Linked DNA regions of Arabidopsis thaliana. The protein of the gene in region 1 interacts with the protein of each later gene in a pairwise test. Each region holds a gene or a part of one and is shown in the gene's direction. Other genes may lie near its edges.

The links.
Region 2: the proteins of AT3G03000 (region 1) and AT2G18750 interact in a two-hybrid assay, tested with the Arabidopsis thaliana proteins (one study listed by BioGRID).

Annotation. Positions count from the first base shown.
Region 1 is NC_003074.8:667,669-682,779, forward strand, and holds AT3G03000 (EF hand calcium-binding protein family), read left to right. Parts: upstream 1-9,571; 5' UTR 9,572-9,719; coding exon 9,720-10,217; 3' UTR 10,218-10,512; downstream 10,513-15,111. Other genes in the region: AT3G02960 (Heavy metal transport/detoxification superfamily protein), read right to left, coding at 1-49, 182-357, 686-860, 950-958; AT3G02975 (uncharacterized protein), read left to right, coding at 1,507-1,513, 1,557-1,858; EXL6 (EXORDIUM like 6), read right to left, coding at 1,549-2,012, 2,293-2,827; MCC1 (MEIOTIC CONTROL OF CROSSOVERS1), read right to left, coding at 3,229-3,352, 3,438-3,666, 3,767-3,866, 4,177-4,321, 4,402-4,547; HSFA1E (heat shock transcription factor A1E), read left to right, coding at 5,946-6,191, 7,160-8,320; AT3G03010 (Peptidyl-tRNA hydrolase II (PTH2) family protein), read right to left, coding at 11,314-11,363, 11,454-11,480, 11,582-11,651, 11,792-11,861, 11,962-12,021, 12,110-12,168, 12,266-12,469; AT3G03020 (uncharacterized protein), read left to right, coding at 13,409-13,612; AT3G03030 (F-box/RNI-like superfamily protein), read left to right, coding at 14,584-15,111. UniProt on the Arabidopsis thaliana protein: Potential calcium sensor that modulates ion selectivity of NHX1.
Region 2 is NC_003071.7:8,115,593-8,133,105, forward strand, and holds AT2G18750 (Calmodulin-binding protein), read left to right. Parts: upstream 1-9,535; 5' UTR 9,536-10,002; exon of another isoform or gene 10,003-10,209; 5' UTR 10,210-10,234; coding exon 10,235-10,350; intron 10,351-10,500; coding exon 10,501-10,576; intron 10,577-10,666; coding exon 10,667-10,725; intron 10,726-10,805; coding exon 10,806-11,299; intron 11,300-11,384; coding exon 11,385-11,545; intron 11,546-11,631; coding exon 11,632-11,829; intron 11,830-11,924; coding exon 11,925-12,102; intron 12,103-12,184; coding exon 12,185-12,771; 3' UTR 12,772-13,110; downstream 13,111-17,513. Other genes in the region: AT2G18720 (Translation elongation factor EF1A/initiation factor IF2gamma family protein), read right to left, coding at 1-201, 287-514, 598-700, 777-945, 1,044-1,167; AT2G18721 (uncharacterized protein), read left to right, coding at 1,407-1,514; DGK3 (diacylglycerol kinase 3), read left to right, coding at 3,384-3,743, 4,064-4,186, 4,278-4,415, 4,499-4,584, 4,675-4,762, 4,869-4,944, 5,032-5,114, 5,235-5,305 and 4 more; AT2G18740 (Small nuclear ribonucleoprotein family protein), read left to right, coding at 7,742-7,783, 7,884-7,910, 8,010-8,072, 8,794-8,872, 8,960-9,005, 9,109-9,118; CHR8 (chromatin remodeling 8), read left to right, coding at 13,562-13,651, 13,763-14,284, 14,415-14,817, 14,920-15,964, 16,046-16,655, 16,745-17,182, 17,278-17,513. UniProt on the Arabidopsis thaliana protein: Transcription activator that binds DNA in a sequence-specific manner, likely 5'-GAAATTTTGG-3', to promote the expression of target genes.

The DNA of each region.
Region 1 (15,111 bases):
CACAGTGCATGTTCATTCTTAAAATTGCAGTTTTGATCTCGGGAGCACTCTAAAATCATGCAAAAAATATTTAGAAATGATTAGATATGTTAGTTGTTATTCTCAGATTAATTAGACAAGGTATGATATAAATGAGAGTATATATCTAAGTTCTAACACGAAATAATTGGAAATAACTTACTTCTTTCTTTTGCTGTGGCTCCTTCTGATCTTGTTTAGGGTTATGTTTTGGGGAAATCATCTCAGCATTTCTACTAAATTTCTTTTGCACTCTTCGTAATATCTTCAACGGATCATCAAATTTTCCAGACACAACAACTTTATTGTCTCCTATCTCTGTCTTAATATGCTCAACCCCTATAAGACAAATAAGATAATAGCTACTTATGAGTCATGAGTAAGAAGAAAAAAACGGTAATCCTATTTTTTAATTGATGCTTTAAGAACTAGAGATTACTATTCGTTATGTCATTGTGGGAATTAATAGACAACTTCTCTAGATTACAGGAAAGAAAAATAAAACTGAAACCAGACTAGATAATGCTTAAGTTAAATTATAGTACAATTTCACTCAATGATAAATGATTAAATATTTGACATTGATTCTTATGATCGAGACCATATATATATGATTCCATTAAAGAGGGAAAGTAATCTAATAATGTTTCTTTTAATAGAGTATTACCATCATAGCCCCTCAAGCAATGAGAAACTTGTGATGCACATCCTTCACAGTGCATGTAAACCTTCAGAACAATTTCTTTACATTGATTTTTCTTATCAGACTTATCGACTGATGAATCTCCATTTTTCTGGTTCTTCTTTTCAGACTTGTTGTCTGATTCTCCATTTTGCTTGTTCTTTAGAACCAAATCCAAAACACAAAATATAAGTTCACATAATTTACTTAACAAATTACTGGAATTACCAAAGACAGGAATGCACATACCTTTCCCATATCAATGTTTACTCCTTTGTACGACAAGTGCAATGAAAAAGTTGAATAGTGAGACTCGATATATATAAGGTCAGAGAGGTTTTACGATCAATTAATTATTTCATTTGTAACATACATAAAATTATTTACTTCTCAATCTGGATGATCCTATTTGTTTACAATGAATAATAATTCTAATATTCACTAACAGGATTGATGACAAAGAGACAAATAATTTTGTAACGATCATTAGTAAATTAAATTTCAATCGGGACTTGTGTAACTTCTTATTCAGTGTCCAAATAAGTACACTATTCATTATTCCGATTTTCTAAAATCATGAATAGTTACAAATCTTCGAGCTTTATTTTCTTACTTATCAACATTTTGTTGTTGTTGTTGTCAAATACTGTAGTATTATCTGCTAAATCATGGATTTTCTTTCTCACAGAATTTAATTTACACGAGGATCGTTCAAAGTCTAGTTCATGAAGACTTGGAACTAGAAGTTCATGAAGTATTTCCAAGTATATTGAATATTTCCAATAACAAAACAACCTTAAAAGTTCATGAAGGGTAAAAACTGTGTAACATGTCGTAATAATAACGGTTTACATAGGAGTCCAGCAAGATTTGGTCTTAGGGTCCCAAATAGAAGGAATCAAGAATTTCAAGTGGTTGATTCCGTGTGAATTAAAGGCTCCACCAGTAATCGGGTCAACCCGAATTCTACCAGTGAAACCTGGAAAAGCTCCGGATCCAAAAACCCGAGTGCACTTGGTTGCAGGGTCCACAATATACATTGACGAAGATTCATGGTTTTTCTTTACGTCATCGTTGTACGGTGTCGTCTCAGATTTGAATAAGGACTTGGTTAGATCTGGATTGGTGGCCAAATCGGCTAAACCGGTGGCTAGCTGAATAACCAGTGCGTCAGCTCCGACTTCTCCACTTGCCGGTTGATAGGTCATGCCACGTGGACCCTTATCGGCCGTGTGGAAAGGCCAAGCGCACTCTCCGGGACATTCCACCTCCGGGTTGCTTACCATTATGTACCGTCGTGGTTCTTTTTGACCTGCGTGGGATTTACGTAATGACGTCAAATTTTTCTTTTGTTTGTTGTCTAATACTACAATCTTTTAGAACAAACTAAAAAAGCTACAAAATTATGTAGAACCAATAATCTTTTTCTCAAGGGTAAAATAGATTAATGTTATGCAATTTAACGAGGAGAAAATCAAGACATACTTAAAATATATTTATTGTACTAGTGTCGATCTCTCACGGTGCCATATTAATCCAGGTTTAAATCTGAGAGATGTAGACGGAAAAAAAAAACGAAGAGAAAATCAAACCTTTAATTTTGGCTAGGGCGTTATGTTGGCAAGTTCCGTCACAAAACCCTACGCCATGAGCCCTAACTTGCGCCGAAAGTAATACCACGGGAACCACTTTCGACATATTTCCGATAGCCGTCTCAACAAGTTTCTCACCGTTCCCCATTGTCAATTCCTTTCCATACTTCATCTTCTCATCCACATAACTCCGGACAACCTTCACCTTAATCCTCGGAGCTACGGTTCTGTTACTCTTCTTCTGTCGGTAAATATCCTTCACCTCAAACCTCTCTTGGTAACTCTCCACCACTTTCCACCACGCCGATACCTTCGGGTCAAGACCTTCCTTGGCGTCGAAGTTAAGCGATTCTATGAAATCGTGAACCCTCTCCTTTTGAGTAGGCGTGAATTGGCCGTACCATAGTAAAGAGAGATCTAGGGTTCCGTTTGGGATTTGTGAAGGTGGCTCACGTGAAAGGCAGAGAGGCGCCAAGAGGAGGAAAATGATGACGGATATGGAGGAGGAGGAGGAAGAAGCAGACGCCATTGCCATTGCCACCGCGTGAAAAAAACTTTTTTCTGTTCTTTTGGCCTTTGATGGGGATTTTCTCAGGCTTTTTTGAGGGAAGTAAATAAAATTATCGTTTAACCTATTTTTTGACATCCTAAGCTGGTGATTTTGTTTTTGGATAATTGCCAATGAAGCAAAAGAGCTATTTTCAACCAAGCTAACTATTTTAAGAAGGGTGGTGAAAAACTCATAAGAACTTCCTTACACCTTATAAACACGTAATGATCAGCGTATAAAACCCAAAAAACAGTACATTAACGGTGACTATTTACCTTTTCATTACAGAGTTCACAATGAGAAATCAAATGAATGGGAAATATAGTTTTAAGTTAAATGAATTCGTACGCTGATGATGACCCTAGCTTCGGTTTGGTTTGCGAGGGTTAGACACAATCCGTGTCTTTGCAAAACAGCCATTTCAAACCTTTCTCATCCTTGTTAGCCAGCTTAGATGCCACTGACTTGATACCACTCTTCATATAATTCACAACAAACATCGCCACCTCTCTGCAAATTACAGTAAATTGTTGTAAACCATTATAGAGTACAAGAGAATCAAAGACTTGTTTTGTCTGTGAGTAAATCTCCTTACAAGGGTGAGCAAGGAGTTCGAGAACCGTTGATGAAGTAGACAAACAAGAACGCATCAAAATGATGTCGATTGATTAGATAAAATCCATGTAATCTCCGCACGCATCTGAACATCAATCTTTTGTACAAACAGATCGCAGCATTGTTGTGTGCAATCACATGAAGGTAAACTCCGCGACACACAGATAAACCGGAAGCATATTTAATTACCTCACTAATAAGTGACATTGCTGAGAGTTAAAAAAAGTTGCAGAAACATCAGAAATTATAAAACCAAGCAATATATAGAACATGTTTCAGATACTTATTAGTATTATAAGAGTCATGTACCGATTCCACGGTTTCTGTATGTTTCTACAACTCCGAGTGTCAAGATGTATATCAAAGTCTCCTCTCCTTTCGAGGAATCGTAATGTATAAGATCATCTATCTGTGCAAGACACAGAAACCATCTGCCAGCTGATGAAGATAGATAATAAGAAGATAAAAACAACACTAGACTCAATTGCATTACCAGAGCTCCCAAAACAGATTATTCAATCATAATTCAGACATTATTACAAGCCGCTGTTCTAAAGATTTTTGACAAGTGAAATAACTTTTATTTAGTGTACATGATCACAGACGAACCAAAAACCATAAGCATTATGAACTAGTTCAACATTCAAGGTGATTACAGGACCTGAAAGATCATTATTGTTCGAATTACAAAAAGACGAATTCATAGAATGAAAACTAACCTCGCTATCTTTGGCAAGCACAAATTTGGCAGTAACAAAACCAATAAGTTCATCAGAGTGATCATCAGGCCGGCTCCGATCAACAGCAGCCCATGAGACGATATCAACTCCGTTCACAACACTCTGGAAAAACTCAGACTCATACCTGACAAAACAAAAATCAATACTTTAGAAATCTTTTCACAAGACACCAACATAGGAAAATCCAAGTAGATGGATGCATACTTGATGGGGAAGATATCGCGATGGATTTGCTCCAAACGATCTAGATCATTAGGGTTTATAGGTCTATAGTGAATACTTGGGCAAAGAGAGATTCCTGCATCTTCCATTGATGAATCATCTATGAATCTTCGAGGAAATCGCGACATTGTTTGGTATCCGAAGAACCAGAAAAGCCACTTCCCATTGTGAAGTGCCAGATCACTGGATCCGACCCGTTGAAGTAAATGGATCCGGATAGATTTAACGAATCTGGATCTGAGTGGGTTTGTTTGGATTTGATTGGTTAATCTTCGGCGAAGGAATCAATCAAGAACCGAGTTTCGAGCATGGGAAAGAAAAAGGTGCTTGCTTGCTTTGCCCTCTCCTCTGTCTCTTGGGGCTTTTTCTCGTTCCAAGTGAAGCATCTTGGCTCGTGTGCTTTGCGACAACCAATCACGTGCCTCTTTTAGAAGGAGAGTACTAATGTACTATTTATGAATGGAATATTCGATTCTCTTAAATGAAAAATTGTTCCATTTTCAATAATATAACCATTTTTAACAATAAAAATTCGTACTGTTTTTTCTATCTGAAAAAAATGGATTTGAAAAAATTCGTACTTTCGATTCATAATCTGCTTTTTATTATTATTCGTTATAAGTCTGTACTATGGTAAGAGAACCTTAAAATATTCCCCTCCACAACAAAAAATAAAAATCAAACTGGAGAAGAGTTAGGCAGTAAAGGAGAATTTCCTTGCCCTATTAACTCGATTAGGCGGGCCAATACACTTGTTATGTGTTTTCCACTTTTCTTCGTTACAAATTTAGATTAGTCTTACATGATGAGCCGTTAGATATCATAGAAAGAAATAATCTTATAAAATTTGATAAGATTTCTATAATCCACAAATCTGGATCGATGTTTATTTCAGATTTATAAATATTGTCTTAAAAAAAAAATTATTGGCCGTCTCGGCGGCAAGCAGAGAGAGAGAGACTCAACGTTTTCGTAACAACAAAACTTTGAGTAGCAGAAAATTATCCAAAAAAAAACGTGAAACGCAAATGGAAAAAATTGAGAAAAGTAACGCGAGTCCAGTGCCACGTATGAAAAAAAGAGCTTAGGACCAGATACGTTAATCAGAAAAAGACCAGGTACGTACGTTAATTAATGTTTTTTTAAAAAGGCCAAGCACGTTAGTCCAGCCCACGTGGTATTTCTTATCTTAACAACAAAACTAATTTTTTAATTTAATAATCGGACGTTGCAGAGGTAATCAGATCAACGGTAGAGATTACGACACGTTATATCACTCTGCGAAACTCCACCGCTTTCTGGAATTAAAAAAATCAGAGTGTATAAATAAAAGAGCAGAGGTAAAAGCTATCTCCAGAGTTTAATATAAGTGTAGACAGAGAGAGAGAGAGCTTCTTTCTTCTTCTCTTCGTCGCTAAGAGATGATCTTCGAATATAAATCTCTGTAAGGTTTGCGAAGACCGGAGTAGTGAATCTCGGAATTGTTGAAGAAGACGGTACACCGGAATCAATTGCGATTTTGATTTATGGGAACGGTTTGCGAATCTGTAGCGACGGCGAAATCTTCGACGGCGGTGATGAGCTCCATTCCGCCTTTTCTGAGCAAAACGTACGATATGGTTGACGATCCATTGACGGACGACGTGGTGTCTTGGAGCAGCGGAAACAACAGCTTCGTGGTTTGGAACGTGCCTGAGTTCGCCAAACAGTTTCTACCAAAGTATTTCAAGCACAACAATTTCTCCAGCTTCGTCAGACAGCTCAATACTTATGTGAGTGAACTTCGATCGATTCTTTTTTATTTGTTTTTCTCTTCATTGATTCGATTTTCTTCAATTTCGTAGTTCGATTTTAGGGAATCTTACTTTATGTGCTTCATTTTTATTTTACTCTCTTGTTTTTTTTGTGGTTGAATTAAGCATTAGTTATTGATAAAACTCACGAATGATTTAAGGTTGCAAGAAGGTGCTTTGAGAAGTCGACTCCTATTTAGTGTATAGTATGATGCTACTGATTGATGTTCCTATATAGTTGTTGACGCTGGTGGTTGAACTATGCACGTCTAGTAGGTTGTGTTAATGTTGATTTTAGTTGCACTAACTGTTAAGATTGGATCTTTTTGGGTTCTGACAAACTCGTGCAAGATAATTTCACATATTTGTATTGTTCTTCAGTTGTTTTTTGTACATGTATACCCTGTGAACTGCAGGCATATATGTTTTTGTTTTTCTAAGTATCTGAGCTTGCATCCGTGTCTGTGAGGCTGGAATGAATTTTCTTAGGTCAAGCAAAACTAACAAGTGTATACTCTTGCGTAGCTTGTTCCTCCCCTGTTCTTATTTACTTACCAAAAGGTTCCACGAACTTTGCAGGCTTATTTGGACATGTGCTCATATGTGTCTGACGATTGGTTGATTCAGCACTTCCATTTCTGGCCTCTTAAGTCACAAAACAAAATTTCTATCAGTTGTCCCATGTTAGCTTTCCATTCGTTTGTATTTGTCCGTCCAGGTACATGCCGATACACTAACAACTGTATTAGTTTCCTTGGACCATGGTAGTTTGGTGCTGCAGCTAGACCCAGTGAACGTATCATACCATATCTAGAATAGTTGTTATTAACGTATTTAATGGTCTTTATGTTTATACAAATCTTCTATGTTGGCTTCCTATTGCAACGGAATCCAAGTAACTTCTTGCGGTTGATGACTGTTCCATTCTCCATGCTTCTTTTTTTCAGGGTTTTAGAAAAGTTGATCCAGACCGCTGGGAGTTTGCAAACGAGGGCTTTTTAAGAGGCCAAAAGCAAATACTAAAGAGTATTGTCCGGCGAAAACCTGCACAAGTGCAGCCTCCACAACAACCTCAAGTTCAGCACTCATCTGTGGGTGCGTGCGTTGAAGTGGGCAAATTTGGACTCGAAGAGGAAGTGGAAAGACTTCAGCGCGATAAGAACGTCCTTATGCAGGAACTTGTAAGGTTGAGGCAGCAACAACAAGTTACCGAACATCATCTGCAGAATGTGGGGCAGAAAGTTCATGTGATGGAGCAGAGGCAGCAACAGATGATGTCCTTTCTAGCAAAGGCTGTCCAAAGTCCAGGTTTCTTAAACCAATTTTCTCAGCAGAGTAATGAAGCAAACCAACACATTTCTGAAAGCAACAAAAAGAGGAGGCTACCTGTTGAGGACCAGATGAATTCTGGCAGTCATGGGGTTAATGGTCTTAGCCGCCAGATTGTGAGATATCAGTCATCGATGAACGATGCAACAAACACTATGCTTCAACAGATACAGCAGATGAGTAATGCACCTAGCCATGAATCTCTCTCAAGCAATAATGGTAGCTTTCTTTTGGGCGATGTTCCAAATTCTAACATTTCAGACAATGGGAGCTCCTCAAATGGATCACCTGAAGTTACATTGGCAGATGTTTCATCCATTCCTGCAGGCTTCTATCCTGCAATGAAGTACCACGAGCCTTGTGAAACAAATCAAGTCATGGAGACCAATTTGCCTTTTTCTCAAGGTGATCTCTTACCTCCAACGCAAGGAGCAGCAGCTTCTGGGAGCTCAAGTTCGGATCTTGTTGGATGCGAGACAGATAATGGAGAGTGTTTGGATCCAATAATGGCTGTTTTGGATGGCGCACTCGAACTAGAAGCTGATACCTTAAATGAGTTGCTTCCTGAAGTCCAAGATTCTTTTTGGGAACAGTTCATTGGTGAGAGCCCAGTGATTGGTGAGACAGATGAGTTAATCTCAGGATCAGTGGAAAATGAACTGATATTGGAGCAACTAGAGTTACAATCAACCCTGAGTAATGTGTGGAGCAAGAATCAACAAATGAACCATCTTACTGAACAGATGGGACTTCTCACATCAGATGCTCTCAGAAAATGAGATTGCCACAGGCCACAATCTTTCCTCACGAGGTAATCAGTCTATCTATATTGATATGTTATAAACCACACACTTTCCAAAATTTAAATTTTGTGCAAAACCAAACCCCTCGTCTTTGTCTTGTTATCGCAGATGGGTTAAGATTTTGTGGAGCCGCAACAACAAAAAGAATATGACCAAAGGAGGTACTATGTATGTATGTATCAAACTGTTGTAACTCTAATTCTTGTCAATGTATAATAAAATAAGAGAAATATTGCCTTAAAAGATTTTTGCATTGCAATATCTTTGTTTGTTACTGACAGAATGAAAAGGAGATGCTTCAAAGTGAGAGATATTCTTCTGTTCTTGTGTATGTCTTTAGAGATCCTTGTTTATTTTTGTTACATTAAGTGCAAAAATTGGCATTTTGGTTAACCTGTGGCCAAATCTTACCTGCTTTAGTGTTTTTTTATCAGTCCTTCACTTTTAGTTTCTTGAGTAAAACTAATGTTCCAATTTCGTCTAAAGGAAATCATCTAAAGAGAGAGTAAAAAGGAAGAACGTGTGTCGTGTGGATATAGTAACAAAGTGGTTTAAAAGGATCAAGTCATTGATTACACGGAATCAAAGTGTATGTACATGCATATGTTAAGCTCTGAAACTGCAACCGAACCAGATCCATTTGTCGTTTGTATCAATCTTAAACTTGCTTTTAACATTACATACAACATTACATATGATATTACCATTAGTTGTAATTTATATAGCTTATATGATATATATCTATTTCTGAAAACTATATAAATATTTTACATATGATAAATTTCACAGATATCTCATGGATATATTGCTTTAAAAGAGGATATGAACATTAATAAACATGTAATTTGTTAAAAGAATTGATAAAGACCATATATTAAGGATAAAATAGTTACTCTGAAAGAAAATTTGAACATTCATGCATGCAATATATAACGTATGTCGAACACTCGATTCATATATAGCTAACAAATGTCGAAAATATTATCTTCTTTAAAATACGAATCAAAGCTATAACATTTTTCTATTGTCAAGAAATCTTTTGGCATCCATTTCTACAAACCAGTTCCGGTGAATTAACGCTTAGCACGACTGTTTTCCCTCCACCGAACAACCTTTGACCGTTCCAATAATTGGTTCAATTAATAATTTAATTTAAAAAATTTCGTATTCCATCCACAATCATTTATTTGATTTAAATAAAATAAAATTTTTATTCTCTTGCTCATTAATAAGAAAATCAAAATCTTTACTCGTTTGAAATTTGTAATCCATTACCTGTCATCGTTGACTTGTCAAGAAGAAACAAATCAACTCTAAAAAGAAAAATGTTGTTCATCGAAATCGAAGCTTGACAGTATTCAAAATCAGATTCGAGATGAGCTGCGACGGAGGCAAACCGGCGCCGGCGAAACTAGGCGACGAACAACTAGCGGAGCTCCGGGAGATATTCCGATCATTTGACCAGAACAAGGATGGAAGTTTGACGGAGCTCGAGTTAGGCTCACTTCTAAGATCTCTCGGTCTAAAGCCGAGTCAAGACCAACTCGACACATTGATCCAGAAAGCAGATCGGAATAACAACGGACTGGTCGAGTTCTCCGAGTTCGTCGCCCTCGTCGAGCCAGATCTGGTCAAGTGTCCTTACACGGATGATCAGCTTAAAGCCATCTTTAGAATGTTTGACCGCGATGGAAACGGTTACATAACGGCGGCGGAGTTAGCCCATTCGATGGCGAAGCTAGGTCACGCGTTGACGGCGGAGGAGTTAACGGGAATGATCAAAGAAGCTGATCGAGACGGCGATGGTTGTATTGATTTCCAAGAGTTTGTTCAAGCGATTACTTCAGCTGCGTTTGATAATGCTTGGGGTTGAAGAAAGAAAGGTATATATATACATAGTTTGAAATACTTGTGTTTTGTTTTTTTGGCTTCATCCTCAAATCAAAGACATTTGGAAGTATATGTGTGTAGGTGCGATTCCATGGAAAATGTGTGTTATTTATTGTTTCATATTATTCTTTGATGAAATTTTGATAGCTTGAAGAGAAAGCTATCATTGTTGGTTTTAGGGCAAGAAAACTTTGCTATGCGTGTGAGTCACTTCTCCACCCGTCGCTTTAGCCACTTTAGTTTATGGAGATAAAGGTCTCTCAATATGCAAAACAAAAGAAAGCATCAAAACTGACTCTTTATCTTTATATGTATGGGGGATAATCAGCAAATATCGTATGATTATGATCTTCTAGTAAGACAATTGCACAAATTCATGTAAATTCGAAAACGATCCCCAATAATGGTTAAGGAGAAGGGAAAACAAATTTGTCACCGAGATATGTCAAATGATTTGTGAATCCAAGAGTTATTACATAGATTTAGCCCACATGTCTTCTTCAACCAGTCCTGCACGAGTTACATAGATTTAGCCCACATGTTGCTAACAACTAACAATCTTTGAGTGTATACGCATTCATTGACTATGCTAAATGCTAGAACTCAGAATAAACAAACATTTGAAATGGATATTACAAGCAGTATTCCCGGAAATATATAGTAATTGGTAGCACGATATACAGTGACATCAATACTATTTTAGCAAACGACCACTAACTATAGCAAGAAGTGAAACACTTATGCTGTATATTTTGATTAGCTGTTGCGCAGGAATTAGACTCTCCTTAGGACAAAATCAGTCAAAATCAATTCGTAGCTTAAACGCTTCAGTTTATAGATACAATAGACAAAACAAAGGAGAGCATCAAAACTTCATCTTTAAAATGTTGTGGATAATCAGCAAATGTTGTCATATGATTATCTTCTAGTAAGACAATTGTACAAATCCATGTAAAATGGAGTTATCTACTCAGAAGAAGGGAAAACAGATTTGTCACCGAGAAATGTCGAAAACTTGGGAGCCAATTAGCATGCTCTCCTTTCTGCCAGAGTGTTGGTAATGTCGAATCCAAGAGTTATTACATAAGCTTTAGTCCACCTGTTACTTCATCAACATTATCAACAGGTCCTGCACAAGTAATAGACTTATTAAACAATTGCACTTGTAACTACAATTTGTGATATAACTCATCTCTTCTCATAGATGATAATAACTTACCAAGAATAGCCATTACTGTCCTTGAATCTGGAAAAGAAGAGAACAAGTAGGCATATTAAGTTTTTCTATTAATGTCAGACTAGGGTTAAGCAGGAGGATTCCAAATAACAGTAACTATAGAAACTCACTTGGAGCGATCTGTGTTTTTCCCGCATCAATGGTGATATGGGTTGGCAGTTTCAGGGTCTTTGCTCTTTCCTGTCGGTATCAACAAGATTGTTACACTCTTCACATAGGAGGATCTTATGACTTTTTCTTCTTCTCTTATTCAATACCTAGGAAACTGCAATCTTGCAAAGGGCAAGTATATTTACGTAGCACATGTTCAGTAAACTCACTTGCAAAACTAGCATCTCTTCCTCACTTTCAATTTTGACAACAACTTTTGGCTGAGCACAATATTCCCATCTGCAAGAGCAATAAGTAACTGTTAATTCCATCCGTAGCCTGAAAAAGAAACATAGAATTGAAGTAGAGTATGAGATGGTGTGGCATACCGCATACCTACCTGTTCAAGGCTTTTGGCGCCCGTTGAAGGAGTTTCTTGTATAAACCTAAAGTTGCATGACTACATATAATATGCAAAACAAGAGAAAAGGAGTTGTTAATTGAATTCAAGAAATGCAATTGAAAACTGAAAGAGGATTGATAATCACCTGCATTGAGCTGCAATCTTCCCTTTACCCATTTTAAGATCATTCCTCACAACCAAAACCTACACAGACAACAACAACAACAACAAGAAGCATTTATATCAGCTACTGGTATCTTGGTGCAATACAAAGACAAGGAGGCAGAGTGAGGCTAGGTACCATTTTGAAATTTTTGCGAAAATCAGCGAGTTTCTCTATCTCGAGGGGTTCCTTGGACTTGGTTTTCTTATTCCCGCTGGATCCTGCATCTATGGCGACAGATTTGGAGGAGAGAAAGATTCGGCGGGTTTGTCGTAAAGTGCTGATGTAATATCCAAGTGCAGCTCCAACAAGTAAAACACTTAATAACCACACCAAATCCATACCTCCTACAAGAATTAGCAAACAAAATTCACAACTATCATTAACTCAAACAATGTTGAATCAATGTGGTAACTAAAATCAGTGTTCTGATAAGAAAATAACATAGTAACAAATTTTGGGAATCTAAAAGTGAATTAAGAAACTAGTGCATTAGTACTTGTTTCTCTCGGAATCAAGTAAAAAACATAAGCTAGTTTTAAACATACAAAAGCTGTGTTGGAGCTATTGAATCGATAAAAAAGCTACTTGACGATTCTGGGGTTTCACCAATAGGGAATTTAAGTAGACAACAAACTAATAAGCATTATCAATTGTAGAAATAAATCTACGAGGGACGGTTAATGGAAGATTCGTTACCTTAAAGTCTTCCGGCGGCTGAGCTGTGACAAGTCTGTTTCTTCGTTCAAGTTTCAACGATTTTGGCGATATTCTGGTGTTTGGCCACACGAATAGGTCTCTCCTTAATATGTTTAAAAGTGTTGTTCCCAATCTTTTTTATATCGGCAAAATTTGGGCCTTTGAGATGTTGAACGGCCCATTTTCATTTTTAAAAACAATTACTTTCTGGCATTTTCGAAATCATATTTACTTTCCTTATTATTGTTTTTTTTCATAAAGCAAAGGAAATTGTTTTTGTATAAAAAAAGTTGAAACCAACAAATCCAAGACTCGTGGTTTCTTCATGCCATGGAGATAAAAAAAAAAGAAAGAGTCCAAATATTCCTTTAAAGTTAACGCGTCTTCTCACTTGTCGTACGGCATTGACCTCCTCGTAGATTATTTTTCTTCTCAATTAAAACCTCTGTGTCACAGTCTCAAAATCAGTTTCCTACTCGCGTTGTTGTTCTTAAGTCATAAGTGTTAGGTTTGAATCAATCGCTCTAGTACCAGTGGAACTGTTGATTTGCTTAGCGAGAAGATGGATCTGAGACCCTGAAGATGATCTGGAGTTATCTTGGTCCGAGCAGTTCATATGTCCTTAACATCTTCGGGGAATGTCAAAACCATTTTATAAACACAAAATCTTCTTCTTCTTCTTCCTTTCTCTCTCTCCATAATTCTTGTTTGCGTCATTCATTCATCACATATCCACATACCACAGAGACAGAGGAATCGTCCTTTATCAGAAATGGCAGGCAGTAATCTTCTCCAAGGTATACTCTATTTATTCTTCTTCTTTGATGGTACTACTATTTGATCTGATCTATTTTGAGTTCATTTTTCTCTAGTTTGGACCTGGAATCAGTTTCTCTCTTGTTAGCTATTTCTCTCTTCTCTATTGTATGAAATCAAATCCAAATCTATTTTGCTCTTGAAGACAACCTAAAGCTTTCACCTTTCTCTCTTCTTTACATTTCAATAAAGCTCATTGAGCTATTTTGCATTTTCAGTCTCTTCTAATAAGCTCAATGAGCATATATCTATTTTCAGTCTCTTCTAATTAGCTGCAACAGAGCCAGCCATATGATTCTTGTTGCTACTAAACCTAAAGACTCTCGCGGAAGCAGCAGCGATGAGATGATGATGAATGATCTGGATGAGATAATATTTGGTGAGAATAGTTTGGGTCATTCTTCATCTGCCTCTGGAAATGATCAGAAGAAGCAGAAATCGTCTAAAAACAATGAGCTCATTCACTTGTGAGATGTGTTTTGTTTTTCTTAGTGGATTTGGATTGGTGTTTAGTCTTTGGGAATATGCATCAACAGTTGTTATGTAAGTAAACTAAAATTAGCAGCCTTGTGGGATTGAAATATATTTAGGGTGTAACCTGTATATTTCGCTGCTCTGTTTTGGTGTTATTAATTTATCTAAGTGATTAATCGTTAAGACTTAAAATTATATCAATATTTTAATTGACAAAATATCTCCAAATTCCCCTAAATTACGCACTCCGTCCCTCTCTTCTTCGACTCATTGAGGAGTTGCCCTAATTTGTAGTGTTAAGAGTTGTGCGAAAATTTGCATTTTCAATGTTGTTGGTGTTTTCGGTGTCACAGCCTCAAAATCAATTTCCTACTCGCGTTGTTGTTGTTGTTGTTAAGTCATAAGTGTTAGGTTTGAATCAACCGCTGTAGTACCAGTGGAACTGTTTTGATTTGCTTAGCGAGAAGATGGATCTAGTGAGCAGTTTACCAGACGATGTTCGTTGTCATATACTGTCCTTCCTTACCACAAAGGAGTCTGCTTTGACATCTGTTCTGTCTAAGAAGTGGCGGAATCTGTTCACGCTTGTCCCTAATCTCGACTTGGATGACTCTGAGTATCTTCATCCGGAAGAGACTAAGTGGGAAAGAGAAGAAATTCTGGATAGCTTCTTGGATTTTGTGGAAAGAGTATTGTCTTTGCAGGGAAATGGTCCCATTCGTAGGTTCTCCCTCAGGTGTGAAAGCGGTGTTCCTCCAGCTCGTCTGAATCGTTGGTTATGTAAAGTGCTGCAGCGTGGTGTTGCGGACCTTGAACTTATCATCGACTTCGAAGATGGTTATCTTCTGCCTCGAGAGTTGTTCGTCAGTGAGACACTCGTCAATCTCAGGTTAAAATCTGAATTTGGTTGTATTCATTGGTGGCCTGGAGCTGAAGGCACTTTCTTACCAAGGCTTCAAAGTCTTGATATAAGCTCTGCGATGGTTTTTTGTGAT
Region 2 (17,513 bases), on another chromosome or scaffold:
TGCAACTCCACCTTTCATACCATCATAATCAGAGCCAGGTTTATTGACATCAAAAGAACGAATCACAATCATTCTTGGAGGTGACACAAAATCCCTCACAGGGAGTGGAATCTTCTTGACAATGTACTCACACAAAACATCGATGTTGTATTTCAGTTGCGCTGAGACAGGAACTATAGGAGCACCTTCCGCATTCGTGTTCTGTAATAACAAGTTTAAAACTTAACCAACTAATCAAGAAGTGAAAAATGCAAAAAAAAAACAGAATGGGAAAATTGAATCAAACCGTTATAAATCTCTGGATGTCCTCGTGCTGTTTAATAGCCTCGTTTTCTTGGATGAGATCAATCTTGTTCTGAATGATTATGATATCTTTAAGATGCATCATATCAACAGAAGCAAGATGTTCAGCTGTTTGTGGTTGTGGACATGTCTCATTCGCAGCAATGATTAGTAAAGCACCATCCATAATCGCTGCTCCATTCAGCATTGTCGCCATTAGGATATCGTGTCCCTAATCAACACACAAAACACCTCATTAACATATAGAAAATGGTTACAAAAGATTTAGAAATAGTGTTAAAACTCATTTTATACCGGGCAATCAACAAATGAGACATGTCTTAGTAGTTTCATCTTGTACTTCTCATGTCCAGAGACATCACAACTTGGGTTGTCTTCTTTGCCACTCCCGAAAGACCTATAATTAACACATATCATAAGTTGCTACGTACACTACGTAACCTTATTGTAGCAAAAGAAGAGCAAGAATTCACTTGTAGGCTACTGGTCTAGGGCATTTTTCACATTTGTAAATCTTTGCGTTTGCGTAACCAAGTTTAATGGTAATGTTACGCTCCAATTCACTCTTGAATTTGACAGTGTGCACACCGGAAACGGCTTTCACGATTGTCGATTTCCCGTGAGCGACATGGCCAATGGTTCCTGAGATATAGAGAGCATAGTCATATCTTTAGCTTTCAATGCACGGCTGATCAGTTTCTTCAGCATCAAAACTCAATGAAACAAAAACTTGTGTATACCTATGTTAATGGTGGCTTGACGAGAGATGACCTCAGGAGAGAGAGGATGCAGCTGAGCTACATCAAGTTTACTTAGATCTTGTTCAGCTAAGCCCTTGTTCTTCGACATTACGACAGATTTCATCTTAAACACTCTGTTGCAATCAATCAAAGTTCACAACTTTAGAACAACGTTGATCAGAGCCAATACAATAACACTAGAAGTTTCGAAAGGCTGTTCAGAAACTAGGGTTTTTATGCAAGATGGATGGGTTCCGTTCACAATAGTTACGATTCGATTAAATTCAATTAGGGTTGCTAATCTATTTCACTGAAGTTCTTATAAAAATGATTTACACAAACCTGAAGTACGGTAAGAGGTAGATGAAGAAGTTTGCTCGCAGAGATTTCAGAGGAGAAAGCGTGCCGTTGAAGGTTTGTGTTTTTGGTTTTGATAAAGTCAGGTGGCGTGTAAGGTATATTTATAGGTAGGGTTTTATCTTAACGTTTACTGTTTGTCTTTTTCGCCAACTTCATTTTTCCATGTGTCAATAAAACATGTCTTACAATTTTTATTTTATAATTGTCGGTTTCTTACCCGAAATGTTTTTTTATAGGAAAATTTGTGTTAGGTAATTTTGCAATTTCATTTACAAAATATAGCACGCTCCTTTTGAGATGGGCTAAAATCGTTCCAAAGTTTGGGCTTACACGCCTAACCATTGGCCCACTCCAGTTTACTTCTATCTTTCACCAAACTAAGAAACATTGATCCTTGAACAAAAAGTAGTATATGTTTATATGATGACAAAAAAAAAAGAGTAGGAAATCTATGATTCTATAGGAGTGTAAATGAATAAGCTGTGATAAATTTAGGTTATTTTTCTTAACGATATATATTGTTAGATCAAATTTTATAGTTACATCATTTGGAGTATAATGTAAATATGTTCCGCTTTATAATAATGTAAATATGATTTGTAATACTAATGAGAACACACGCTCATTGTCTTCCAGTTCAAGAAATATCTTAAACCCCACTTTTTATCAGCCACCTGAATTTGAGTCTTCCTCTGCCACATAATAAATTGTTTACATGGACCAATTCTTGGTTACAAAACATCTGATATCATATCGTGCAATTAAGAAGGTATTAAATGATGTTTTTTTCTGTGGCATTTGTATATACTTTCAAGTTTCGACCAATTCTATAAGTTAAGAAAAAGGCATTGAGGGAAATTTAGGTTAGAAAAAGTACACAACGATCCCAGCAATGGGAAGTAGCTATCACTTTCAGTGACCCTATTTCTCTGAGTGGGCAATAACATTGTAGGCCCCATTCTGTGGAAAATCCACTAACTTCAATGTCTGCTCTCATTTTCTATTGTCTCCTTCGCTGTTTTTTTACAATTTACGTTACCACCAAAACTATTCCTTTGTTTAATGACGAAAACGCCACTCTTTCTAAGCAAAATGTCAGAGAATTTTGTTTCTTTGTTGGAGAGTTGAAAATATTTTTTACATAGAAAAAGAAACCAATAATGCAGTCAAATAATAATAGGAAGCAAATAATAATGCAAGTATCTCTAATTCTCTATATCAAATTGTATTCAATCATATTCACCAGATGTAACCTCTATAATGGAACCTTTTTGAATATTAAAATATCATTAGATCCTATTCTTACAATGTATCAATCAATTACTAATTAATTTTCTCTGGTTTTCTTGATATAACAATAACGTTAAAAAATCTCATTGTTAATCTCTTTATGCCATCATTAGTATTGTAAGATTTTGTACACTTTAAATTGTAAATTTGATCTTACAGAAACAAAAGATCTACAAATCTTAGTTACAGAAGATAATGGTATTAAACTATACAAATCTTAGTAGTTTAATATTATTAATAATCAAAATTATTCTAAATTAGAACTTTTACAAAATAAACATTTATCAGTCGCTTTCATAAATGTCAAACAATAAAAAAAGAAAAAGAATCAAAGATCTAAAGAGTGGCATTTTTATGACGTCACATTGAAATCCAACCGTGTAAATTCTTTTTTTTTCAATATAAGCAAATTAATTCACACGTTTTGTGCGCTGTCTTCGAAACTAAATCATTTATAAAAAAGACAAAACAGACAAGAAAATACAAACTGTCAAAAGAAGATTTTATATTGGTTGATTTGAAATCTCTCAGCAAAGAAGAAGAAGAAAGATTAAAAAAAAACAATCCTTTATTATTTTTCATTTCAACTCCAATTTTGATTATCTGGGTTTCGAATATTCCTCATTTTCTCCAATCACAGGACGAAAAGTAATCATCTTTTTGTCTTTTCTTCTCCGGCGAGAGACTACAATGGACTCTCCGGTATCAAAAACCGATGCATCGAAAGAGAAATTCGTGGCTTCACGACCATCAACGGCTGATTCAAAGACGATGAGAGGTTGTGGACTCGCGAATCTGGCATGGGTTGGTGTAGATAAAGTAGAGCTTCGTCAGAGGTTGATGATGCCTGAGTATCTTCGTCTCGCTATGCGTGACTGTATCAAACGCAAAGATTCCTCGGCTATTCCTGATCATTTACTTCTTCCTGGTGGTGCTGTTGCTGATATGGCTCCTCATGCTCCTATGGTTGTTTTCATTAACCCCAATTCTGGTGGTCGTCATGGTCCTGTTCTTAAAGAGAGGCTTCAACAGTTGATGAGCGAGGAACAGGTTTTGCTCTCACTGAACTTGTATTTCAAATCTTTTTCTTTGGGTTTTTGGGGGAATTTCGAATCTAATTTGTATCTACTTTGTGTTTTGATTATGTTAGTTTGGAAACTTTCTTAAAGTCTCTGGCTTTTAAGTTTTTAATGCTTGATTTATATGTTTATGCTTAGCTGATGTTAGATCTAGTGTTTTGTTGGAACTTTGAAGGATGAGTTACGTTTAAAGATTGAGTCTTTTGGAAAGCTGAGTGATGTTGATGTTGTCAAGTTATTGGTTTGAGCTTTTGATATTGAAACTTCATGGTGACTTTTGTGTTGATACAGGTGTTTGACCTCACGGAAGTGAAGCCGCATGAGTTTGTTCGATACGGGTTGGGGTGTTTGGAGAAAGTGGCAGCGGAAGGAGATGAATGTGCAAAAGAATGCAGAGCAAGGTTGAGGATTATGGTGAGTGTATTGACCATATTTTTCTCCAATCTCTATAGATCCACTTGAATGTTTTTAGCAATCAGAATTGTGAATGGAATTGGTTGGATAGGTTGCAGGAGGTGATGGTACTGTTGGTTGGGTTCTTGGATGTCTTGGAGAGCTTAATAAAGATGGAAAGTCGCAAATTCCTCCTGTTGGAGTTATTCCTCTCGGTACAGGGAATGATCTTTCAAGGAGTTTTGGTTGGGTGAGTTGTGTTTTCTTTGTTCTCTCTTATGTTGTCGTGACAAAACTTTTGAATTGGTACTGACTATGGTATCTCTTCTTCAGGGTGGTTCGTTTCCTTTTGCGTGGAGATCTGCTGTTAAAAGAACACTCCATCGCGCAAGTATGGGTCCAGTTGCTAGACTTGACAGGTAAAAGTCTTATTTTGCTCAAAACATTTAGCTTTTATTGTATTTCTCTTGTTGTAAAAATGTATGCGCTTTGGTTATGTGGTGTTGCAGCTGGAAGATTTTAGTGTCAATGCCATCTGGAGAAGTCGTAGATCCTCCTTATTCTTTAAAACCCGCTGAAGAAAACGAACTTGATCAGGTTTTGCTCTATTTCATTAGGCTTGCTTCTTCTCATTGAATCATCAGCATGTGATTTTGTAAATTGCCACGGTTTAGTAATTAACCAGGCTTTATGGTGGTTTCAGGGTTTGGACGCGGGAATTGATGCGCCTCCACTTGCAAAGGCTTATGAAGGTGTTTTCTACAATTACTTAAGCATAGGTTTGTTGAACTTCTCTTTTTGATATCCTAAACAATTTTCACAATTGTTTTTCTGACCAGATTCTTGTGTTTGTCTGGTTTGTTTAGGTATGGATGCTCAAGTTGCATATGGCTTCCACCATCTTCGCAACACTAAACCATATCTTGCTCAAGGCCCTATTTCAAATAAGGTTTGTTTATTATATTTGCACCTAAACTTTGGACTCATTATTTGTCTTTGTTAAAAGCTAAAGTAGTTATGTTGGTTTTGAGAAACGACATTACCAACCACACAATGTTTGCTTTTGCAGATTATATATTCAAGTTTTGGTTGCAGTCAGGGTTGGTTTTGCACGCCTTGTGTCAACGATCCAGGTTTAAGGTTCGCCATTTCGACTCTTATTGTGTAGTTGAACTTGTGTGTAAGTCTCTGCTTAAGCCCTTTGTTGTGTTGTTGACCCCTTGTTTGTGCTATATGAATTTGCAGGGGACTTAGGAACATAATGAAAATTCACATCAAAAAGGTTAACTGCTCTCAGTGGGAAGAGATCGCAGTCCCGAAAAAGTAAAAAACAGTTTTCGATATATGATTTATGTATTACAATCTTTGATATCAATGCTTAAAACCTGATGCTATGGATTTCTCTTGTAGTGTGAGATCAATTGTCGCATTGAATCTTCACAGCTATGGAAGTGGAAGCCATCCTTGGGGCAATCTAAAACCGGACTATCTAGAGAAGGTATTGTTTCTGTTCCATTTCATCATATATGAACTCAGTTCTCTGATGTTAACCCGAATGTTTTCTTTGGTTTTTCTCAGAGAGGCTTTGTGGAAGCACATTGTGATGATGGTTTGATAGAGATTTTCGGTTTTAAGCAAGGATGGCACGCGTCATTTGTCATGGCTGAGCTCATCTCTGCCAAGCACATAGCTCAGGTAACTTCAAAAGACACTGGTCAATGTATAATCTTTTTAGCCATGTGTTTGACTGTTTCATTTTGGTGATCATTTCAGGCTGCTGCGGTAAGATTTGAGCTAAGAGGAGGTGACTGGAGAGACGCATTCTTGCAAATGGATGGTGAGCCATGGAAGCAACCAATGAGCACTGAGTACTCAACATTTGTGGAGATCAAGAAGGTTCCTTATCAATCTCTGATGATAAATAATGAATGATTGAGATTCAAAGCTGGATTCTTTGTACAAAGCTAATTGTTTTGTATTTGGATTTGATTCAGTTAGTCATAGATATAGCCTAAGCTTTTTAGTCTTCTTTTCTTTTAAATCTGAGATTGTGACCATTTTTCTCTTTTTAATTTCTGCTTATTGTTGGTTTTGTACATTTTTGTGTTGTGAGGAATGAAGTTTGTTTATTTATAAGAATGTGGGAAGATAATATTTGGTCAAATTTCAATCTCTCTTCAATCTTTGTAATTCTAGCATTGAGCACATAGATGTGATTCTTTGTCATATTTTTATTTATTTTAACACTAGTTCGACTGAGAACCAATTTATCATCGACACCAATTTCTAAGTAAGAATATTTTTAATAATTATCATTATTAGTCGTATATTTTTACCAGAATAATAAAAAATTAAAAACCTAAGTTAATAAACCACACAAAAAAGTTTTTCTCTCTTCGCTCTCTCGTAGTTTGTAAAGATAGAAACTGAAATTTCTTTTGTTTTTGTTAACCGGATAGTTTTCCGGTGAGTCGCCGTCCCGTTTAATTCGGGCTTTCGTCCGACATCTTCTAGCTACGTTAGTGGAGATGGTTGGCTTTTTGTATGGCATCGTTGGCTAACTTAGCGACGTTGGCCAGCTTCCGTACGGCAGCGTTGGGCTTACACTAACAGCGTTGGTCATCTTTGTTTTTGTTTTGTTACTTCAAAGGTTTGATGATGAAGCTTTATGGCATGCAGAATCGTCAGATCTGAAGAGGGTTTCTCTTTACAAGATCTATTCTCCTTCTGTTTTGTTTAGCTTCACTATTGGGTTATGCTTTTGGCTCTGGTAGTTTTTCGGCGATGTGTGCGTTTCCAGCAATTACCCTCGTTTGGATCTACCATATTTAAGACAGTTTCAATTTTATTTTCGCCTAAGATTGGGTTAAAGCTTCTATCCTATGCAAATTTGATATGCCTTTAGTGCTTTTGCAAGAGAGTTCGAAGATTCAATGGTTGGACAAGTTTGAACTACTCAATTTTTTTAATTTCTTTACCCGTTTTGATGAATTATTTGTGATTCTAGCAACCATATGAGATTAGGAAATTGATGTTTGTTCTATAACATCTAATTGCCATAATCGGTGATAGAAAAAAAGAGTTTCATTGCTCGGTGCTTTCCCGGCGATGGTTCTCCGATTCACCAGACTTGAGTCTCATCCGGTGGAGGTTGTGGAAGATTCACGTGTCCTTAGCTTATTATTATTGGTCTGACACGTCTTAAGCTTATCTCTTTTTTGTGACGTAAAAGTCTGTTGTGGACCTCATATGTAGACTGTCTTGAGCCTTTTATGTTGTAACACTGAGCCTCAGTATATTAAAAATAAATCTTTCTCTGAAAAAAAAAAAAAAAAAGTTAAAAACCTACGCTAAAAAATTCTAGGTCTTGGAAAAGAGTATTTGGGCCAAATGATCACATTAATTAGTTATGGGCTGAAATAACATTCTGAAGTTTTATGAGGACCGAGAGAACTAAGTTTAAGAAAAATGTTGAAAAAAGCGTATTAGCAGAGGGACAAACGCTTTTTAGGGTTTTAGATTTCCTCTGAGAGAGAATTTTCGAAAGCTTGAGAGAGATTTCCAACTACGTTAGCCATGGCGAGCACCAAAGTTCAAAGGATTATGACCCAACCTATCGTACGTTTCTTCTTCGATTCCTTTGTTCCATCTCTTTATTGTTTCTATCGAAACCTAATTTTGTATCTTGCTTTTTGTTTTCCGGTGGCGGCGGCTCCAGAACTTGATTTTTAGGTTTCTTCAAAGTGTAAGTTGTTCAATTTCTTCTGATTTGCTCTCTGAGGTTTTAGGTTATTAGTAGTTCGTCTACTGATTTGTTCCCTGGTCTTTTGTGTTTGTGATGCAGAAAGCTAGGATCCAGATTTGGCTATTTGAGCAGAAAGATTTGAGGATTGAAGGAAGAATCACTGTAAGTTGATGTTGAAGCTCCGTTATCATGAATTGATTAGATTCCTGGCTTTGTTTATAGGACATTCGAGGGTTATGCTAACTTTAGGAGAGTTTGAAATGCATTAGCAGTGTGACTATCTCTCTAATTTAGTCTGTGTTTGAACTGTTGCATTTGTTGTGAATTGAAAAGGGATAGTTGTCACTGTTACTACTACTGCACAAAGAACTGATAAGAGCCTGCCAATAGAAACTAGTTTGATTAGCTAGCTGTTCTTAGGTTGAGTATGATTGTGTCATTCTCTTCGGCTTAAAACTTATTGTCTCCTACAGCCTACTTGGCTTTGGGTGTTACTTGTTTCAGTTTGTTGCTATGCTTGTAGTTGTATGTCCTCTATGATTTTCGAGTTATGATTCAAGCATTCAAGCTTTTCTTAGTTTGATTCTATGATAATTTGGAGAAACTTGAGATTTTGTGATGGTGTCATTCTCATTGGCTTAAAGGTTTGAGTTGTCTACTTGACTTTTGTTGTTCCATGTTGCAGTCTACTTGACTTTTGTTGTTCCTCGAGTTAAGATCCTAGCTTTTCTGAGGTTGATTATATGTATGGAGGAACATGATATTTGTGATAGTGTCACTCTACTCGGTTTTAAACTTAGATTTTTGTCTACTTGAATTTGGGTGTATTATTGATTCTTCTAGGAGAATCCATCAAACCTTGCTTATCCGTCGTCCTTTGCAGGGTTTTGACGAATACATGAATCTAGTTTTGGATGAGGCTGAAGAAGTGAGCATCAAGAAGAACACCAGGAAACCACTTGGTGAGTTATCCTGAACTCACTCTTTGATAACAAGTCTCAGATCTGTCTGCTTATGGTTTGATAACTCGTGTTAATACCTATTTTCAGGAAGGATTTTACTCAAAGGAGACAACATAACTCTGATGATGAACACGTAAGTAACACAATCTCTACTCTGTCTTCTCTCTTTATGATGTATAGCAGCTTGATTTGTCACATAACAAAAGATTGAAACAAAATCCTTTCTATGTTAACAGGGGAAAGTGATGTCTGTCTCAAACAACTCTCTTCGATGACCTTCAAGCTTATGTTAAATATCTGTTGAGTTCTTCCTCAGCTTAATTGGTACTTGACGATACCTTCTTTTCTTCAATGTCGTATAATATATTGCAATGTAGTGAGTGACAAAGGAGCTTGATCGAATCTAGTGGATTGGTTGGTTAAAACTTCAAAAAAGAGATTTGGTCCCTTTTGGTTAAATCTAGTGTTATGTAATTTGGCTGATCTTTGTTGCAACTTTTTAACCTCTGTTTAAATTTCAAACCTTAAAAAAGTAAAACCAATTGATTTTGATTATAAAAAAAATTGTATCATTTTTGTTTGTTTGGTGAACTGACCGAGTTGGCCATTCTCAGGGCTCAAGTAGATTGAAAGTTTAATTATACTAATAGACCAATCAGAATATAATCTGTTAAAGTTAACATAAAAATACAGAAATCTATGTGAACATTAACTTTTCATTGCAATTAGATGTTTTTATATCCATGTTGATTGTTGAATCTTATCCCTAATCTTGCTATTGGTGAAATGAATGTATTTTTACTATTAAAGTCTTTTTTTAATAACAAATAATTGGACTTTATACAACAAAGTATTATTATTTAATTATCAACTTTAGAATATAGCATGTGCCAAAAATACATACACTAGCCGCCGGCCCAAGAATGTCGTCCAATAAACGAAAAGCAAAAGTGACGGCAATCCAAGCCTACTGTGATCTTGTCCGCACCCGATAACTATCTTTAATTACTAAAACTAGTCAAAGTACTCGACTAATCACAAAACTAGACAAGTGTTTCAAGTAAATTAATTTTTGATCTTTTCATTTTATCTCTCTCTCTTTTTCTTCTATCCAAAACACCATTTTTGAGGTATTTTTCTCTCTCCTTCGAATCGAATTTTCAGGTTTCTCTTTCCGTTTGTTTGAAGAAGCTTTTAAGTAGAATTCATAAAATCTTGCTTAGCTTCTGGGTTTGATTTGTTTGTGGTAAAGTTTTGATTTTTTTTTTAGTTTGAGAGCTGGATTTGTGATTCTTTCTCTGGGTTGGTGAAGTTTTTTACTTGCTTCGATCTTATAGATCAGAGCTTCTAGCAGCGTAAAAAATGCAGACGAGGTATATGGAGAGGACTAATAGTATGAGAGAGAAGAGAAAATTGGAGGAAGATGATAATCAGCAGCAGCAGCAACAGCCTGAGCGTAAAAGGCCAGCTCTTGCAAGGTAATTTGTGTTGATGCTTGTAATTTTTCTGATTATTGATTATGGCGTTGTTGAATCTGTAATTGATTTGTAGTTGTATGAATGAAAAAAGGGTTGTTATGTATATTGATTGTCTGTGGATTTGAGAAAGTTGTGTATGTGTTATTGCAGTGTAATTGTGGAAGCCTTGAAGATGGATAGTTTACAGAGGCTTTGTTCTTCTTTGGAACCGATTCTTCGCCGAGTGGTTAGCTTAATAAGAATTGTTTACATGTCTTTTGGTGCTTTGTGTTGTTTCTTTGGCTTACTGATTTGTTTTGTGAGCATTGTCAAACAGGTAAGTGAAGAGGTGGAGCGGGCATTGGCAAAGCTTGGCCCTGCAAGACTTAGTGAAAGGTAACATATGACTGTTTTAAAAAGAGATAAAATTAATGGTTGGAGTATTTGTGGTTTTCTTCTAATGCTTGAGTTCACAGGTCGTCTCCAAAACGAATTGAAGGTATCGGTGGAAGGAATTTGCAGCTACAATTCAGGTCTAGATTGTCTGTTCCTTTGTTTACTGGAGGGAAGATAGAAGGGGAGCAAGGTGCTGCAATCCATGTTGTACTGTTGGATATGACAACTGGACATGTTTTGACAGTAGGACCTGAAGCTTCTGCAAAGCTTGATGTTGTTGTGCTTGATGGTGATTTTAACACTGAAGATGATGATGGTTGGAGTGGAGAAGAGTTTGAGGGTCATTTGGTGAAAGAACGTCAAGGGAAGAGGCCTCTCTTGACTGGTGATGTGCAGGTCACGTTGAAAGAAGGTGTGGGAACATTAGGGGAACTTATCTTTACGGACAACTCAAGTTGGATTAGATGCAGAAAATTCAGGCTGGGTTTAAGGGTCTCTTCGGGTTACTGTGAGGGAATGCGTGTACGCGAGGCAAAAACAGAAGCTTTTACCGTGAAGGACCATCGTGGAGAGTGTAAGTTCTTGCTTTCCTTTGATATTAGTCATTGATGTATCTGAATCTTTGTTTTTCTTTTGCCTAATGTTTTTTTTTCCTACAGTGTACAAGAAACATTACCCACCTGCTTTGGATGATGAGGTCTGGAGGTTGGAAAAGATTGGAAAGGACGGGGCTTTCCATAAGAAACTCAATAAAGCAGGAATCTACAATGTTAAAGAATTCCTGCGTCTTATGGTCAAAGACTCTCAGAAACTAAGGACTGTGAGTGCACGATTTAACTATCCAGTATCTTACCAAGATGTTCAAATATTATTATTCATCATGATGACTCTTACTCTGATTTTCAGATTCTTGGAAGTGGCATGTCAAACAGGATGTGGGAGACACTTGCAGAGCATTCCAAGACATGTGTATTGAGTGAAATGCTTTACGTCTACTATCCCGAGGACTCAGTTGGTGTTGTTTTCAACAATATATACGAGTTTAGTGGTCTTATATCAGGAAAGCAGTATTATCCTGCTGATTCTCTTTCTGACAATCAAAAGGTATGTTTGTTGGGTCTTCTTGCTTCTTATAGATACAGATTTGATTCTTCTATCATATACTCGGAAAATAGTAAAAGGTTATATATATGATGCAGGGTTACGTCGATGGACTGGTGAGGAAAGCCTATGAAAACTGGGAACAGGTTATTGAGTATGACAGCAAGTCACTTATGAACTTCAATCAAGTTAGCAAAACAGATGATATTGATTACTCTATGCCAGTTTCAGTTCCAAGCCAACCATCTACATCTTATTCAGACGTAACTGTTGAAGGTAGAGGTTCAGTCCACAAATGTCGAATCTTTTTAAGTTTTGGTGTGAACCGAATTTAACAGTCATTCATTGGGTTTTTCAGCATACAACCAGAGTCCGGCTTCAAGTTTCCCGGGTCAATCTCAGCTAGCTGATACTACATACATGCACTTTGGAAACTCTTCATTTGCACCGCAAGACCAGCTAGTTAACAACACTCATGAATCACAAAGCATGATCAATAGCAACGGTGGTGTGAGATTGGCACTGGGTCCAGCAACAGGATCTCAAAACCAAGAACAACTTGTTCATCCTCCTCCTGAGATTAACTCTTACAATGATTGGTCAAATACATGCAACAGAGGAGTTGATGGGTTTTTATCAGAGGAAGAGATTAGGGCTAGAAGTAACGAAATGCTCGAGAACGACGATATGCAGCAACTGTTGAGACTGTTTAGCATGAATGGTGGTGACCAGCAAACTCCATTGAACATGGGAGAAGATAGTTTTGGGTTCCATTCTTTTGGTCAGACGTCAATGGCTGATTACGAAGAAGACCGTTCAAACTCGGGCAAGGCTGTTGTAGGATGGCTAAAGATCAAAGCAGCCATGAGATGGGGCTTCTTCATCAGAAGGAAAGCTGCTCAGAGACGGGCTCAGATTGTTCAACTTGATGAAGATGACGAATAGGTTGAAGAAGAAGGAAGAAACAGAGAATCTGAGGGTTTTCATTGTGATGATGGGTTTTTAACAGTTTCCCAGAAAAAGAAGTCTTTTGTTTTGGTTTCTTCTTCTCGTGGAGCTTTGTATTTCTTGTACAGGGAGCTTTCTTCTTCTCTTCTTGTTTGTTTGTGCGTATTATATGTAATCGCTCTACTTGACTAGTTTTCATGAACCCAGAAACCTGATGTAGTTTCTATTGCATAATGTCTTTTATGTTGTGTTCCTTTGGGTTTTGTTATTTTTTGGGTATGTTTGATAATACACTTGTTTAGAAATATTTAGTATTTAATTAATAAATTGGTAAAATAGAAATACACTATTTCTTTTAATTTTAAAAAGCGTATATATAAATTAAAAGAACCTATTTCTCTAATCTTCCACAACAATTCTTTCATCTTTGACGAAACCAGTTTCGCCCATCGCCGAGCAGTGAGTTTTAAAATTTCTGACCTAAAAATTCTCATGGGGTTTTATGATTCCTAGTCGATTTTATCTGGAATTCGTAAGCATCTTGAGATTTTCTCCGTCAATCAAGAGAAAACAATGTTTGAAATAGGAAAAATTGAACTTATTTCGCGAATTTATTTTGAGAATTCTAGGAATATACAAGTCCTTACGATTGCATACAATCTGTTCGACGAAATTCTTAAAAGAGATGTATCGTTTGTTGTTTGAAGGAGAAGGAAGATTTTGAAGATTCTGGCGGAGCTGTGGAATTGAAATTATTCAACAAACACCACCGACTCAGCTTGATTCAATGGAGGAAGACGAGGATCAGTTTTTGTTGAGTAGCTTAGGTGTGACATCGGCCAATCCTGAAGATCTAGAACAGAAGATACTCGATGAGGTAAATATTTGCTCATTCGTTTGGTATTAGTGCTGCATTGTTGATTCTATGAAAGGGTTAGTAATTTATGAAAACTAGCTTGAACTCTAAATGTGTTTATCTCTTTGTCAGGCGACGAAGAAACCAGACAACGATGAGGGTGGGAGTGTGGAGGAGAAGTCTACACAGCTTGAAGGAACCAATCTGCTTTCATCTAGCCAAAACGAGCTTTTGAATAAATTGAGGGCTGTAAAGTTTGAAATAGATGCTGTTGCATCAACTGTTGAGAACGTCGACGAGATTGCAGCAGAAAAGGGCTTAAAGAAAGATGATGAATCAGATTTACAAGGGTTGCATAGTGGTTCTGCTCTTCAGCATGCCCTTGCCACAGACCGGCTAAGAAGTCTTAAGAAGAGAAAAATTCAACTTGAAAAGGAACTTACTGGTCTTCATGGTCAGAGTGCGTCTAGTAGTGCTGATCACGGTAATCTACTGCGAGATTTGGTGAAGGAGAAGCCTAGTCTTAAGAGAAAATTGAAAGAGATTCGGAAACCAAGCAGAAGAGATGGGAAGAAGGTGAAAGTAGTCTCCTTTCGTGAGGACACAGATTTTGATGCTGTTTTTGATGGAGCTTCAGCTGGTTTTGTTGAAACGGTACGTCCAGTTATCTTCTAAAGGTTTTATATATTTGACCTGATTCCTGTGGGATTATGCTCTTTATCTGTGGGTATGTAAAATGCATATATGAAAGACAGTGACTAATTTCAAGGGTGTTCTTGTCTAGGAAAGAGATGAACTGGTGAGAAAAGGAATTTTAACTCCATTTCACAAGCTCGATGGTTTTGAACGCCGACTTCAACAACCTGGACCGTCAAACTCACGCAACCTACCTGAAGGAGACGACGAAAATGAGGACTCCAGCATTATTGATAGAGCTGTCCAATCTATGTCGCTGGCTGCAAAGGCTCGTCCCACAACCAAGCTACTTGATGCAGAAGACTTGCCAAAGCTTGAACCGCCCACTGCTCCTTTTAGAAGGCTGAGAAAGCTTTACAAGACTCCTAATTCTCCGGATAATGAAGCAAAGAAACGTAAAGCTGGGAAGAAGAGCAAAAAGACGCGGCCTTTGCCTGAAAAGAAATGGAGAAAGCGAATCTCTCGTGAAGACTCTAGTCTTCAAGGAAGTGGTATGACTGATGCTATTGACAATTATTTGTATTTACAGATTGCTGTTTGGGCCCTTTGATTGAATTTCATGGCTATTAATTGGAGCGAATGCTTTTGAAAAGATAAGGCTGTGATATTGGATCTTCCCGATGTTGAGATATCACATGTTATCAATGCAATGCTTTTAAGTGATAAGTCTCAACAGTTTCTACCAATGTTAAGCAAATTCTTTTTTTTCCCTCACTTGAGTTTATGTAAACCAACAAGTTATGATGTTGATTCTTGTTGCAATGTTTCAGGAGATGGAAGGAGAATCTTGACCACTTCCAGTTGCGAGGAAGAAGAGCTAGATGATTTTGATGATGCAGATGACAACGAAAGATCTTCTGTACAGCTTGAAGGTGGATTAAACATTCCTGAATGCATCTTTCGTAAACTTTTTGACTACCAAAGAGTTGGGGTGCAATGGCTTTGGGAACTTCATTGCCAAAGGGCTGGTGGCATTATCGGGGACGAGATGGGTCTTGGTAAAACTATACAGGTCTTATCTTTTCTCGGATCCTTGCATTTCAGTAAGATGTACAAACCGAGTATTATCATATGTCCTGTTACACTCTTGCGTCAATGGAGAAGAGAAGCACAGAAATGGTACCCAGATTTTCACGTGGAAATACTCCATGACTCAGCACAAGATTCTGGGCACGGCAAAGGTCAAGGCAAGGCCTCTGAAAGTGATTACGACAGTGAGAGTTCCGTTGATAGTGATCATGAGCCAAAGTCTAAGAACACCAAGAAGTGGGATTCTTTGTTAAACCGGGTTCTAAATTCTGAGTCAGGGCTCCTCATCACCACATATGAGCAATTGAGGTTGCAGGGTGAGAAGCTGCTCAATATTGAGTGGGGTTATGCAGTACTGGACGAAGGCCATCGGATCCGGAACCCAAATTCTGACATTACTTTGGTGTGCAAACAGTTACAGACCGTCCATCGAATTATTATGACTGGGGCACCAATCCAGAATAAACTAACAGAACTCTGGTCCTTGTTCGATTTTGTTTTCCCGGGAAAACTGGGGGTCCTGCCTGTGTTTGAGGCAGAATTTTCTGTTCCCATAACTGTGGGTGGTTATGCCAATGCTTCTCCTTTACAAGTGTCGACTGCCTATAGGTAAATTACCTGGTCTTTCTTTTGAATCACTTAGTTAACTCATCACAGTTTGTGCTCTAAAGAATTCTTGACAATGTGCAGGTGTGCTGTTGTTCTCCGTGATTTGATTATGCCGTACCTCCTCCGCCGTATGAAGGCCGATGTAAACGCACATCTTACAAAAAAGACTGAACACGTTCTCTTTTGCAGTCTCACTGTGGAGCAGCGATCTACCTACAGGGCATTCCTTGCAAGCTCCGAAGTAGAACAGATTTTTGATGGCAACAGGAATTCGCTTTATGGGATTGATGTGATGCGTAAGATATGCAACCACCCTGATCTACTTGAGAGAGAACATTCTCACCAGAACCCAGATTATGGAAACCCAGAACGCAGTGGGAAGATGAAGGTTGTTGCAGAAGTGCTCAAGGTCTGGAAACAGCAAGGACACCGTGTACTTCTGTTTTCACAGACTCAGCAAATGCTTGACATCCTCGAGAGCTTCTTGGTTGCAAATGAGTATAGTTACCGGAGGATGGATGGTCTTACTCCAGTGAAACAGAGAATGGCTTTAATTGATGAGTTTAATAATTCAGAAGACATGTTTGTTTTCGTTCTGACGACGAAGGTTGGTGGTTTGGGAACAAATTTGACTGGTGCGAACAGGGTCATTATCTTTGACCCGGATTGGAACCCCTCAAATGATATGCAGGTACGTTTTACTTTGAATGTCACAGATTCAGTGTGCAAAAAACCCGTCGTGGCCATAAATAACAATCAATTTTCTGCTTTTTTGGGCAGGCAAGGGAACGTGCATGGCGTATTGGGCAGAAGAAGGATGTTACCGTTTACAGATTGATCACTCGTGGCACAATTGAGGAGAAGGTATATCATAGACAGATTTATAAACATTTTCTCACCAATAAGATCTTGAAGAATCCACAACAGAGAAGATTCTTCAAAGCTCGGGATATGAAAGATCTTTTCATCCTGAAAGATGATGGCGATAGCAACGCCTCCACGGAAACCTCTAACATCTTCAGTCAGCTGGCGGAAGAGATAAACATCGTAGGAGTTCAATCAGATAAAAAACCTGAATCCGATACACAACTTGCTCTTCACAAAACTGCAGAGGGATCCTCAGAGCAAACAGATGTGGAAATGACTGATAAAACTGGTGAAGCCATGGATGAAGAGACAAATATCTTAAAGAGTCTCTTTGATGCGCATGGAATACATGTAAGTACATTAATAAGTGCTCATTGAAGGTTCTTCTCCGACTTACTTTCCCATAATTTCCAATTCCCTTCACTCTCTTACAATTTTTAACACAGAGTGCTGTGAATCACGACGCCATAATGAATGCAAACGACGAGGAAGAGAAGATGAGACTTGAACACCAAGCATCTCAAGTGGCACAAAGAGCTGCGGAAGCATTGCGCCAATCACGAATGCTGCGTAGCCGCGAAAGCATCTCAGTGCCTACATGGACGGGAAGATCTGGTTGTGCAGGTGCACCATCATCTGTACGGAGGAGATTTGGATCAACTGTCAATTCCCGGTTAACCCA